2 linked regions of the Caenorhabditis elegans genome follow. The protein of the gene in region 2 purifies or fractionates together with the protein of the main gene of each other region. This does not show direct contact. Each region holds a gene or a part of one and is shown on either strand. Other genes may lie near its edges.

The links.
Region 1: the proteins of K07H8.8 (region 2) and dpy-19 fractionate together in Caenorhabditis elegans (co-fractionation; one large-scale study listed by BioGRID). This does not show direct contact.

What each region holds. Positions count from the first base shown.
Region 1 is NC_003281.10:8,663,619-8,671,106, reverse strand, and holds the start of dpy-19 (C-mannosyltransferase dpy-19), read left to right. Parts: upstream 1-3,624; 5' UTR 3,625-3,631; coding exon 3,632-3,734; intron 3,735-3,741; exon of another isoform or gene 3,742-4,226; coding exon of another isoform or gene 4,227-4,310; intron 4,311-4,426; coding exon of another isoform or gene 4,427-4,520; intron 4,521-4,561; coding exon of another isoform or gene 4,562-4,668; intron 4,669-4,726; coding exon of another isoform or gene 4,727-4,946; intron 4,947-4,991; coding exon of another isoform or gene 4,992-5,095; intron 5,096-5,210; coding exon of another isoform or gene 5,211-5,546; intron 5,547-5,644; coding exon of another isoform or gene 5,645-5,761; exon of another isoform or gene 5,762-5,769; intron 5,770-7,488. Other genes in the region: pgl-2 (P granule abnormality protein 2), read left to right, coding at 278-451; F22B7.1 (uncharacterized protein), read right to left, coding at 4,227-4,310, 4,427-4,520, 4,562-4,668, 4,727-4,946, 4,992-5,095, 5,211-5,546, 5,645-5,761. UniProt on the Caenorhabditis elegans protein: C-mannosyltransferase that mediates C-mannosylation of tryptophan residues on target proteins such as unc-5 and mig-21. Mediates the attachment of alpha-mannose in C-C linkage to the C2 of the indole ring of tryptophan.
Region 2 is NC_003282.8:8,265,130-8,271,774, reverse strand, and holds K07H8.8 (sulfotransferase family protein), read left to right. Parts: upstream 1-3,362; 5' UTR 3,363-3,426; coding exon 3,427-3,478; intron 3,479-3,673; coding exon 3,674-3,864; intron 3,865-3,905; coding exon 3,906-4,048; intron 4,049-4,136; coding exon 4,137-4,268; intron 4,269-4,320; coding exon 4,321-4,461; intron 4,462-4,673; coding exon 4,674-4,831; intron 4,832-4,883; coding exon 4,884-5,023; 3' UTR 5,024-5,131; downstream 5,132-6,645. Other genes in the region: K07H8.5 (uncharacterized protein), read right to left, coding at 23-157, 374-605, 652-704; vit-6 (Vitellogenin-6), read right to left, coding at 5,408-5,590, 5,634-5,903, 5,952-6,645.

The DNA.
Region 1 (7,488 bases), on a different chromosome or scaffold from region 2:
ATATCATAAAAAAAGATGTTTAGAAAATCAATTTCTACATAAAAAACTATTGCAAACGGCGGATAACATTAGAAAACAGACGAAAAATGCTTGAAAATTCGTTAAATCTGCAAAACGAATTGAAAACGTTTAAATTTACAGCTTCGGCCCCAAATACCTAACGAGTCCCGTGATTCGGGGGCGGAGCGTTGTTTTGGAAAAGTCGCATTTTTCTGCGTTCCCATAAAAGCTAGGAAAGTGTTAGAAAATTTTTTAAATAATAATATAATTTTTCCAGGACGAAAATCAAAGAAATCAGATTCGGGGATTCAAAGATAATTCCAAGGAACCAAATGCCAAAGTTTCTGCAAGATTTGGCTCGAAATTCCAAAGAGTGGATTCTAGTACCAAGAGACGTCTTTTCGGTGGAGTAGGAGTTGGAGAACCACGTAATTGTAGAGGATTCCTTTAATTGATTATGCATATTTTTAATCGTATTTTTTTAATTAGCATTTTTTAGCGTATCTTTCCTGCTTTTTTGTTATTGTTGTTAAATTTAATTCACAGATAAAGTTTCAGTTACATATCAATTGCTTTGAACATTTTTATTTGGAAATAAAAACGAAAGTTTCGCACAAATATCCGTCCAAATATGCCTGACTCGTTCTAATCCATTCGGTGTAAACTGAGAAAGTGCCGAATAATATGAGAAACCATTTTCATCGAAATGCCTAATAGTTTTCGAAGAATTATTATAAAATACATTATTTCACTAGTTGAGCATTTCTTCTTCTTGCTTGCTCATAGTTTTCTTGTTTTATCAGTAGCTTCTGAAAACTAAAGCCTATGAATTTAATTCTAATTCAATTAATGCACAGAAGATTCCACACTTCTTAATTTCAAAATTAACAACGAACTATAACGCAGACGCGAAAAATTGTCATTTTCGCGCCAAAAATACGGAGCCCGGTCTCGACACGACCAATTTTCTTTTAATGCAAAAAATATGTGCGCCTTTAAAGAGTACTGTAGCTTCCAACTTTTGTTGCTGCGGGATTTTCAGTGATTTTCCTATTTTTCATTGTTTCTACGTGTTTTATTTTAGTTTTCAATAAAGAAATCAATTTTGTTGAAAACTATGAAAAATAGATGAAAATTCCGCAGTAACAAAAGTTGGGACCTACAGTACACCGAATAAATATTTCAATAAATATTTATCTACAATTAGAATTTGAGCACTTTTGTGAAGAAGGACGATTGTTTGCTGGAATATATTAAAAAATAATAATATGTCTAATTGAATTGATATTTCTGTATTAAAGATGGATCATCTAAATTTGATTTTGGAAAAAGTCAAACAAATAACTATTGGGAACAAATATTCTTCCCAAGAACTCAAAACGTATCGTATAAAAACGAATAACTCCATCAATAATAAAAACGGCTCGAATGCATTTTTCCTCATTGGTCAACTCAATACAATCTTCATTTTCGGTTTGTTCTCACTTCAAAAAAAAACATCAACTTTTGTTCTCAGTAGAATCCTGAACAATAGAAGAGGTTTTTTCCATTTGGAACTTTTTTCCGAAGGAATCGAATATGCTTCGATTTTATCTGAAAATTTATCCAAAGAATATACGCCAAGAGATGGAAAATGTATTTTTAGTATGGAACATTCCAAAAAAAAACTATACAAATCAAATCAATTTTCCAACAATTGGAAATTTACCATTCCATATTTGACTGAAAATTTCGAAAAAAAAACCAAAATTGTTTGATTTTCACCAGCCTGAAAACTCGAACTGACGTTTTTATATTCGCACTATTTTCAGAGCCTGTAATTTCTTCAAAGGCGGATTTCACAGAGTTTTTGTAGTTTTAAGCTTGTCAAGTACTGAGCACTCTGCAGATCGTTTGGAAATTGAGAAAGTTTGAAAAAATTGAATTTTGTTGATCTCGATCTTTATCGGTTTTCCATTGTGGTATTTCCAAATTCCAGTCTTTGTTGTGTTTCAAAACATCATCCGCATCAACGCTTCTCCATCATTAAACCTAATTTTTTGAAATTACTTGAAGCACTCAAAACTCTCTAAAAATATCTCAATAGAAGAATAAAGCATAAATAAGTGTTGTTTCATTCAATTCTATCTCCTCCTTCTTTACTACAAGAAGAGGACAGATCTATTGTGTATTACTCTCTATCGGTATGTCTGCGTCTCTGTAAACCCTAGTACTATCTAACTGGCTACCTGTCTGACCGCCTGTCAAATGGATTGGATTCAATGTGTAGAGGAAGAGGATTCGGTTAATGTTTTACTCAAACTATCATGTTGTGTTCCCATATTTTTTTGAAATTTTAGTTTTCACTTCCAAAATATTTTAAATGCTCGTTGTATTTGCTTGTACTGTTTGCTGATTTGTTGAGTCATTTTTCTGGCTTTTCCCTGAACTCTTGGATATTTTTGAAACAAATCATAAATATATAAATCTTGAAACATTTCTCGAAATTTTTTAAAGAAATAACTTAACTTGTTTTAAATACATTTTTTTAAACTGTTAAACTGTTCCGGATTTGTTCGAAGTGTAAAAATCTACAATTTTTAATTTTGCAAAACCCTGCAAGTTTCCCCTTTCTAATTATATTTGTTCATACTATTTGCTAATTCCCTAATAGATTCCCTCTAAAATTTCAAATTGTCCGTGACTTCATTCTCTCTAAACAAAAATCTCTGAAAAAAGAAAAAGCGTCGGGTTCGAACAATTGAATTTCCTTTTTTTTCGTTGGGAAAGAGGTATCTCAAGCTGTGTTTATTTTCATGTAAATTGAGTATTTTTCTTTTGAAAAATGGGCAAAAAAATCGAAGTCTCTTGGTGAAACGCCTCGATGGAAAATCGTATAGCTTTTATGGTTTTTTTCTCAATAAACATAGTCTGTCTGTCTTCATAATCTCCTTTTTTCATGTTTAAAAACTAATTCCCACTATTTGAAATTGCTTTACCAAAAGTGCAAAGCCTTCAAAGTCAACTTAAATTATTTTCAGCTAGCAAATTGAAAAGTTCAACGTTTTATTTAATATTCTAGTAGATTATACATAGTTCAATTATGTTCTACCTACTTTTTATTTTTCTCTTGACATGCCTGCCTACTCACCAATCACCCATTTTTGCATTTTTTACTTTGGTGTTTGGTGTTTGCCTTTTCAATTCATTTGATAGTTCTTTTTTAAGTTTGAAAAAAAAACTTTTTGGCAGTAGGCATAGGTATAAATACCTCAAAAATCAGGTAAGAATTTTTTACCTACAGAATACCTGCCTACAAGACACGCTTCCCTTACCTACTTTATCGCAATTTTAATATCAAATTTTAGGTAAATGAAAAATTTAATATTTTCCCACCCCTATCCTTTTTGCTAGTTTCTATGTTTTCCTTCTATTTCTCATATATTTTCTCAACTCTAATCTCTATTCTAGAGAAATAACATATTTTCAGTCCTCACTAATTTTTTTTCACACTTTTTCTCCCTCTCTTTCTCTCTCTAAAACCTCTCCTTGACATTTTTCTGTGCTGTTAACTAATCAGAACGGATTTAGTATTTTTTTTTTTCGTTAATTGTTTTCTCAATTCTTACGCTGTTGTAATTCCAGACAAAAAATGGCAAAGAAACCCAAGAATTCGCCTGAAAAATCAAAATATTCTTCTGATACTTCTTCCTCATTATATTCGCAAACTTGGCTTGCTTCCGTTGTAATTATAGGTGAGTGAACAATGTTTTATTCAAACTAAAAACATGAAACAGGAAATTAAATTCAAAATACACGTAACAATAGAATGAGAGGAAGAGGGAACAAATATGCATTCAAAGTGGCAAGAGTTTGAGATTTTAAAGCTGGAGCAGCGTCAGTGGGGGATTTTTTTTTAATATTCATAAAAGTTTACGTGGCAAAATATCATAATAAACTTTTTGAAATGTTTAGATTCGGTAAATTGGCATGTCTTTGGAATATTTAGGTTTTCCAACCAAATAATGTACTGTTATGAAACACTTTTTAAAAAACCAATTTCCAAATACCAAAAGTATTGTTCACAAAAGCTGAGAATTCCCAGCTTCCGACAACGAATTTCGAAAAAAATTGGAAAAAAATGTTTCTACGCACCATATGAATAGTCAAAAAAAATATTCCGATGCCACTCCAACTTTAAATGAGACTGAAAACAAATGGAGGAAGAAGTCAAAAAGAGGGTTTTTCTAGAAATCATGATACTGGCCTCGTAGTGGGTCAAAGCAACGAGCAAATGTGTCATTCATTATGTCGAAGAAATGACGAATGTCCTGAAAGTTTAATATAGAAAGCTACAATTAAAAACAATTTAGAACTTTGCACCCATTAGCAGAATATCGAAAAATGCGTAAGAAAATTGACAAGAACTATCTAAAACATTGGTTACCTCTTGCTCTTCATGACTTCTTGACTCTATAACTGCTTTGTAATAATGTTTGAGTGAGCTCAGAACTCCGTTATCTCGAAGGCGTTGAAGAGCTCTAAAAATCTAACGTTTATCTATTCAATATAAATATCTTACTCCTCCTCAATGTCACTTCGCTCATCTAAAATAGCTTGTAGCGCTTTTGGTGGGCGATTTCTGTGCAACCATTCGTCGAGTTCACTGCTTTTCCGATTTTCGCCAAGCTGAAAATTAATTCGTTTTGGGGCTTTTGACATTTTTTAAATATCTAAATTGACTCACTCTTTCCCTAATAATTCCATCAACACTGTCAAACTTGTTCTCATAAGCAGCTAAATCCAAATCAATCCTTTGTTCAAAATTAAGCAATTCCAATGCGTGTCGAACACATTTTGGCTCCATTGCATAACATTCGTTTAATTTTTTCTTTCCATACATCCAAACACTCAGATTTTCCCATAATCTTGCCCAAATTGACATTTTCTCAGTTTCAGAAGATTTTCTGGAAAATAAACATAGTTTTTGATAGACGCTTGATGTTTGAAACCTTTGTGCAAAATACTGCTGAATGGCCATTTGATCAATTAGCGGCAGAAATGGACGTAATTGTTTCAACCAAACTGAACGGATTGCGTTGTATACGGAGGCATTCTAGAAATTTAGTTATAGAAGGAAAATTTGGTATTGTCATATTAAGGTTTTTTTTGAAAATAAAACATTTTAAAGATTAAAGAGAGATGATTTTCCATTGAAATGTCAAACTTACGTGATAACCATTCACCACATCTACAGTAATCTCATCAAAATGTTCCAAATTATCGATTGATTGTACCAAGGATTCATTGATTCTTCCTAAGACATTTTTCTCATTTCGATTCATTTTAACTTTTGAATCGATTACATATTTCAGTTTTTCATAAGTTTTATCTTTTACATAGGCTTTCAAAGTTTCTCTATCCTCTGTTGGTAGATCGAGTACAAATATGAAAAGTGGTAAATATGTCTCCAATAAATTGAATTTTGGTTTGTCACTTTCTTTTTCTTCGGAAGAAGGGTCATACATTGTTTGGTTATTGTTTAATAGTGTCGAATTGTCTTCTGCCTGAAAATTAAAACATAGAATACGGGAAAAGAAAACGAAGATGTGCCGAAAGTAGGCATGCATGCATTTCTGACATGGTAACATTGGCAAAAACCAACCAGAATAACTAGAACATCATCTTTTTCGGGAGGTTCCTTTCCACTTTGTTCCTCATCACTTTGTGCCAAACTCATCATAAATAAGAATAGGAGTAATAAAATTGCAGGCGTTTTCATTTTCCCTTAAAAAAAACTTTAAAAATATGAAAAATAAATAGGAAATCAGTGACATAATAGAAAAACAAGAAAATTCGGATGATGTTTGAAACTTTTGGAGAATCACACGAAAACTGGAAATTGAGAATTGAAGAAAGGACATGCGATGGCAAAAATAATTCAACCGAAATCCAATTATCATCTATTCAAACAAATTTCTGAGCGAAACATCACAAGACTTTTTTGTTCTGGAAGCTTGAAGGGAAAAAAGTGAACGCACGTGACATTAAATGCATCTGGAAATTGGAAGCAAGAGTTTATGCGGAGAGCAGATGAAAAAAAATTGACTTTTGTGAATAGAGCATGTGACTGGGTTTTGAGTAGAATGCGCTTTTAGGATGAATAAAAAGAAATGCAGAGTTTTTATAATTATATTTTGAGAATCTATTGGCTACATACCTGCGCACCTACGTGCCTGCCTACCACCTACTTTTTTAAGTTTAAGAACTTTTGTTAAACTTTTCTTGCAGGTGCACTTGCAAGGATATTGAAAAAAAAACTAGTGTAGGAAAAAGGCAGGCGTTGGACACTATGAAAGAAAACAGTGTTAAAATGTTGTATCTTCATAAGAAATTTTCGAGGAGTCACATTATGAAATTCGGTCTATTGGGATCATTTTGAAGATATTGAAGCAGAAGTCCAAAATTGCTACGCCCCATTTAAGAAATTAAATGATAGGTGCGCAATATAGGCACAAAGCAGATATTTATTTTTACTTGGAAGACTTCAAAAACGATTTTTTAATTGTTTTGAATATACGCTTTAAGATGAAACGGCCCTACCAAAACGAATAAATCAAAGGAACAAAAATAAATGAGATAATTAGTGATATTGACTTGAAATGATTCCTAGACTGAACGCTTCTATCATCTAAATCATTATGCCCACACTTCTTATTCTATTATCTATTTTCCCACATCATTACATTCATTCATCTCATCATTATCGGTCATTATCTAATTTCTCTGCGCCTCTTTATTAGAAATTATCACTGTCATACAGGCTTAGACAATATTAAAAGACACTATGTTTGAAGTGATATCCATTTTAATCAGAAAGTTTCCATTCAGTTTCGGGATGTGATTTCTCATACAAAATTGAAAAACCCAATTATTAGGTATACCTATAGGTTGCAAAGTTTTAGTAAAAATGTGAACAGTTAAGCTATTACAAACAGTAAGTAAAGTTCAAGTTGCTATTGCTCAATGAGCCTCTAATACAAACAAAAATGAAAGTGAGAACTGAGAGCAATATGTTTGAAAACTGGTTCTGCTCTTGCTCACACTTTGTGTATTGAACATTTTGACAGAAAATTTGTAGCCACCTGTATTACCAAAACTATTTGCTCACTTTGAATGCTTTTTTTTGGAAAAAATTCAAGTTTAGTGAGGTTATTTTTGAATATACTGTTATAGAATTGATCGTTTCAACATAAAATTTTAGAACTATTAGATTCGGCGAAATTATTAAAAAAGAGCATTTTTTCCAGACACTTTGAAGAAAGAATCGAAATTGAAATGATTATATCTGAAAAACGGAAACTTGCCAGAATTAATAATAACGCCTAATTGCTTGACCTGAAGCTTAATTAAAGTTTTTTTTAAATTTGAAATTCGCTCTTATAAAGAATGAACAATTTTTTAAAAAGTTTAAGATGTTTGACTGATTGTCGGATTCGTGTTTTGTTA
Region 2 (6,645 bases):
TTTTTTTTTCAGAAATACAAACCTGAGAAATGATTCCTTTGTTTTCTTTCAAATCATCAGACTTTTCGAAGAAGAATGCCACTTTCGATGCTGCTGTTGCATCCCACCACTCAGAATCAGATACAACGACTTCACGGAACATGTTGGCCACATAAAACTGGAAAAAAATATTTAAGTTTGAAAGGTTAGATTTGCGAGAATCGCACAAAAATGCTGTATTCAGAGATATCTGTTTTTTTTTCAAAGATAAAAAAAATGTTTTACTTTCTGAAAATTTTGGCCAAAAATTACGATTGGACATTTCAGACAGGGCTGATTCAACACTCAATCCAGGATATTTCAAAAATGAATTACTCATGAACTTTGTACAAACCTCTCCTGGAAGTTTGCCATTAACTTTATCTCCATAACCAAATCCAACTTCGATTACATAGATTTCTGCATCCGCAATTGCCCGAGGCTTCAGTTCCATCATCGAAGCACGTCCACTCTTTGGCCAAATGACAAGTCCGTTACGTGGCATAATGTACAACTCGAACTTCTCTTTGCAAATTGGAGCACGCTTATCATCCAAAAAATGTTCAGGATCAATGCAAAGTTTGATTCTAAAAGTTAAAAATTCCAAGTTAATTTCAAAGCATCATATCATACCCTTGTGTTTTCCCTTTCAAGTAGAGAAGAGTCTTCCAACTTCCCGCCTTCATCGTCAACTTGACAATATAATACCTTAAGAATCAATCTATGCGCCTTCTTGATTATTAAATGCACAATTATTAACTGCCATACAACAGCTTTCACTTTCTCACAAAATCCACATGAAAACAAACACCAGCCACAGCCAAAACGCAAAACAATTATCGATCAGCTGGCACTTTTTTATTTTCATTTATCTCAGCTTGACGTTCTCGGTTTTCTCTACGTTTTCCACCGAACTGCAGATTTGAGTGACTGGAGGATTGCTGCGGCTCTTTCATTTTACCATGTTTATCCGTGGAGCGCATTTGAAGCCCAAAAACTTTCAAGCTCCTGTCCAACTTATACTCACCTATCATTTTGATCTCCGTGCAACTTGTTCACAGCTTGTACTCTTTTGGTCGAGAATCACAAGTTTGACTGATTGACGAATGATGTTCAATTCGCAAAAAGAAGAACTGATTCGTTTTAATTCTGAATTGGCAGATTAACTGATTGATAACAATCTTCTACGTGGCAAGATGGTTTAGTAATCCAATGAGGCTTCACGGATTAATTGAAAAAAAAAATACATGAAGAAATTAATTAAAGAAGTGAAAGGCTATATTTTAACTTCACAAAGTGACCACGTTTCTTCAATTTTTTAAATACAAAAATTTTTTTAAACAGGGATTTGTTTGATTTGTTTGACAATGAGAATGTTCCGCCTCACTCACTAGTCAGCTACTCTTTTTTACCATAGCTATTAGGTCTCCAAATAAGTTCCGGGTCAAAAATCATAACTTTGTTCGCTGCGTATCAATTTTTATGAAACTTTGGGAATTTATATTATCAACCATGGTCTTTCATTTGACAATAGTCACAAAATTTTTTGACCACCCCAAGTGGCCTAACTCGGAGCCAATTTTTTCAGGCATTTTTCTGATCTCGCTTTTTTTCAGTTTTCAATTGAGCTTTGTGTGCGATTTTGCTTTGTTTAGAATACATTATTAGAAAACAACAAAAGTTTGGAAAAAAATCCGCCCAAAAAAATTTTTTTTGGTTGGTCGTCAAAAAATGTTCAAAAAAATTTTTGTCGAAAATTCTAGATTTTTCCTACAAAAAAGATGTAACCAAGTGTAAACTATTTTTACACATATAAATCATTTGAGTTAAAAATTTGAATCTCAAGAAATATTCAAAAAACTAAAAAATTATCCGAAAAAATTGTATTTTCTACTATCATTTTAGTGTATCGAACTAAATTGATATGTTTTGTATGTCTAAAAATAGTTTACACTTGGTTACATCATTTTTGTAGGAAAAATCTAGAATTTTCGACAAAAATGTTTTTGAACATTTTTTGACGACCAACCAAAAAAAATTTTTTTTTCTAAACTTTTGTTGTTTTCTAATAATGTATTCTAAACAAAGCAAAATCCGCACACAAAGCTCAATTGAAAACTGAAAAGAAGCGAGATCAGAAAAATGCCTGAAAAAATTGGCTCCGAGTTAGGCCACTTGGGGTGGTCAAAAAATTTTGTGACTATTGTCAAATGAAAGAGCATGGTTGATAATATAAATTCCCAAAGTTTCATAAAAATTGATACGCAGCGAACAAAGTTATGATTTTTGACCCGGAACTTATTTGGAGACCTAATATTTTTTTTTCTCGAAAATTCGTTATTTTTGAAAATAAAAATTTGAAAAAATAAAGATTTGAATGATATCCCAAAATATGTCTTACAGGCTTACATTAAATATGATTTTTCCGTTATATTTTCTTCTAATAAGCCTTACAACTTTTATTTTTCTGACTGTCCCGTTGCAATAAAGCCAAGGGTATGAAAACATTCCCACTGATTTCCCCGAGGTTCGTTTTTTTCTTTTTTTTTCTACCATTACAGCTTATCTAAGAAATAAACCTAAGAAAATAAAAAGAAATAGTATTCGTATCTTAAAATAAGCAAATTAATCTTAAATTTCTCTCAATTTTCCGTCTGCTTCGTTCCGAGACTCGCTCTTTAAAAGTCGGCAATGTCACACAAAATAAATTGAGACTGATGTATCGGATGAAAACGAGTTTTCAGAAAATCGCGGAGGAAGGGAAAATGACTCAGGAAAAGCGCTGAAAGATTTTGGCAGGTAGTTAAAAGAACGAAAAACCTTGATGCGGTCAATGTTTTAAGTGGCATGTTCTTTTATGCCATTCGATGCTTGGTTGTTTGGTCTTAGTTAAACAGTTTATCCTGGACGAGTTATATGTTTCAGCTCTTTTCACATTTTTGTTGCAATTAACCAAACCTATTAAATACTTATGCCATCCTTTCATATAATTTTAAAATAAATTTTTCTGTCACTTTGCCGCTCCTTTACTACCAACATTAGTACAACCCTTTTTACACTAAACAATTCTTTCGGTTATGGTTTATCAAACTAAATACAAAGTATTCTGATCTGTTAGACAACCGGATAATCCAATAGTTCCCTTTTTGCTCAGAATATAATGTTTAAATATTTATGTATTTACTTTATTTGATTTTTTCGTTAGGGCTTCAACTGTGAATGAGAAAAATTACCTCATGCAGATTCTATTTACTCAAGAGCTTTTTTCTCGGTCAAATACATAAAACTCACCCGTTAATGGTGTTTTCCGATACCTATCAGATGACCTATGCCGAAGATCGGAAGCCTTTATTGCGTCTGGATAGTGGTGAAGGTGGCGACATTGATGACTTGGAACATTTCACGGAAATGTTGAATCCCTATTGCACAACTTCAAATAAATTTTATTACGGAAAAAAGGGTTTGTTAAATTTTATTTTGTTTGCTTATTTTTACTGTTTCTAACAATGATTTTACATTTAGCTGGTTTTTGAAATTAATAATCACACTATAAAGTTTCATATTTGAGATGTTTCTGGTGGTGTTTTTCGAAAGTCTTTTTCAGCTATAGCATTTAAAATGGGAAGTTACTTCTAAATGTTTTATTTATTTTCAGAAAGGTATATTCCGAAAGCGGTTTTGGTAGTAATGGGCATATTTTCAATATGTTTCAGTATTGATAAATATCAAATATTAATGAAAGAAATTGAATCGAAAGAATGTAATGATGTACTGGCAGAATGCAACAATATACCTTTTAATCAAACATTTGTTCCACCATTTTATGATTATCTTCAAGATTTTACAGTAAGCTCCGCTAGGCCACAGTTAAATCTAAGCCCTTTCAGATTTCTCCTCGTTATGATATATCTCTTTGTCTTATTCCAAAAGTTGTGTCTACAATCGGAACTGCCGCAATATGTTACATACAAGATCCGGAGGCTTTCACCAAAAACAACAGAACAATATCAACGGAAATGTATGGTGGAAGGTAAGTTTGAGCGGTGTTGGTTCTCAGCAGTTACAGCTGGTTCCCAACTAAAACTGAATGAATTGAATGAAAATTTAATCAATTGCAGATTTTGCGAAAACAATGAATTGAAATCTTTTAAAATGGTGCAACGCAGTTTGAATTCTAACTTTGATAATATAATTTTCACACGAAATCCCTATGATCGGTTCATTTCAGGATTTACCGAGAAGTGTGTAAAGTAAGTTTAGATTTAGAGGATAATATCAGGATCTGCAAAATATAAATTTTAGTAACACGGACACAAATATTTGTCACGGATGTGGAACCGACATCCGATGTTTCTTGCAGAAAGAATATCGACGTTTAATTAGAATGAGTATGCTATTTCCTGTTTACACTGGAGCAGACACACATTTTGCTCCTCAAACTTGGTGAGTTCTCAACTTCATTAAATTCTTCATGCCAGGATTTTAAGCTGTCTTTTGAATTCATAAGAGGCTACAAGAAGACAAAAGACATAATGTCTCGCTAAGATCAAGATAACAGTTTTTGTCTAGCCTATTGCCTAATTCATGTTTCCATTTCTCCTAGTCATGAGAATCTTCAAAAATTTAAACCAAAAGATCGTTCAACGGTTTCTCAGGTACTGCGATATGAAAAACAACATCAAGAACTCAACAGTAATACAATATTCGAGTACGGGGACAGAAAAAATAAAGATGATTGATAATTTATTGACCGTTTTCAAAAATAGAAATGTACCAGAAGAAAATCTGAACGAAGTCAGAGAAGAACTTTCAAGTAAGCTTTTTTTAATTGCATTCTTGATTTCATTCAATTTCAACACTTTCAGAAGGAAAAACCCAGCACTCAACATCTGGAACATCTCTACGACTTAAATATGAAAAGCTTATTGAAGAAGATGGAGCTATCAGGAGAGCTTTACAGAGAATTTATTACTATGATTTTTTATATCTTGGGTATTCAATGTAGACGGGTTAAACAAGTAACTATGATTGACAGAAATCGGACAATTTTCCCCGGTGTTGCATTTCAATTGTATTTCCGTATTCTGATTGTTTCAACATAAACTTTATGTTTCTAAATACTCGGCATTTTGCCATAGAGTTCCCTCGCACTTCTACAGAAAAATCTGAACTCTTTGTGAACTCTGACGACGTGCGAGAGGAGACTGTAGAAGTGAACTCTGTGGCAAAATGCCGAGTTGTTTGAATTGAACAGTTCAAATTGGAATATGTTTAAAGTAAATTTTCCACAAACAAAAAATTGTTGAAATTGTTTATTATTGAAATCTATAAAACAATTCAATTGACAAAGATAGTCCTACGATGTGTATGATTGTGAAGAAGAGGTAGTTCAATAGTCGAACTTGTCGCACTTCTGGTCGACGGCGACGCGAACGGTGCGCTCCTCCATTTGTGGTTGGTCACGAAGGTTGCGGAGCTTGTGCTCTGGCCATTGGGCGAGTGGCTCACGGCGGATCTCGCGCATTTGACGGCGAGCCCATGAGTTGGAGGATGGGAGGCAGTAGACGGAGGTCTGAAATGTTACAGAATAATTGATTGAAATGTATAACTACTACCACCTTTTGCTTCTTGGACTCCTGTGACTTTCCGTTTTGGCAGCGAAGAACTGGCTTCTGGGTGAAGCAGATCTCGTGTTGACGCTCGACAATAGCGACTTGCTCAGTTGGCTCATCGTCTTGCTCGCGGCGAGATTCCTCGTAGTTCATCTCTTGGTCCTTCTCCTCCTCTTGATTTTTCTCAATGCGTTGGAAGTTCTCCTCCTTCTCGAACATCTCACGCTCGTAGTTGCACTTGGAGTCCTTGTACAAGTAGCTCTTGGCGAACTTCTGAAAATTGAGATGATTATTGTTGTGTATCAAAATTAAGAAACTTACTGGAATGGTGTTCTCTTGGTTCTCAGCATCATAGAATTCGGTTTCCTTCTCGTTGTCGTAGTGGCCGCAAAGTCCGCATTGTTGGTTTCTGTAGAGAGCGGAAAGGTGAATACGGGCATTGACTCCATCGAATTGAACAGTGACATCATCAGAATCGAACTTGAGTGTGTTCTTGTTAAGCCAGATGATGTTGTATTGCTTCTTCTCAATCTCAGATTCTGGTTGGTACTCGATTTCTTCTCCGTTGACACGGCAGATGAGTCCTTCCTCAGTCTTGTACATTTCAATCTCGTTTTCTCCGTAGACAACCTTGACGTTCTTCCACTCCTTCTTCTCGTTGATCTTCTTCATAAGGACAACGAAACGGGGCTCGCTCTTCTCAGATCCACAATCCTTGGCGAGAACGGAGTAGCATGGGGTGAATTGGTTACGGTAGGCAACTTGGTCGAAGGTGTTGATCTTGGTGCTCTTGACAACACAGTTGGCTTGCTTGGAAGCGTGATGGGCGATCTTCTCCATGACTGGCTTCTGCTCGTAGCGGGAGTTTCTTGGCTGGTAGTGGATTTGGGCAGTTGGAAGTCTGAATGGAAGCTCGACACGCTCAAGAACGGTGGTCTCCATTGGGGTCTCGATAGTCATGTTGACAGTTAGACGTTGGCGTGGTTCAACATTGATTGTGGCACGGATCATGTTC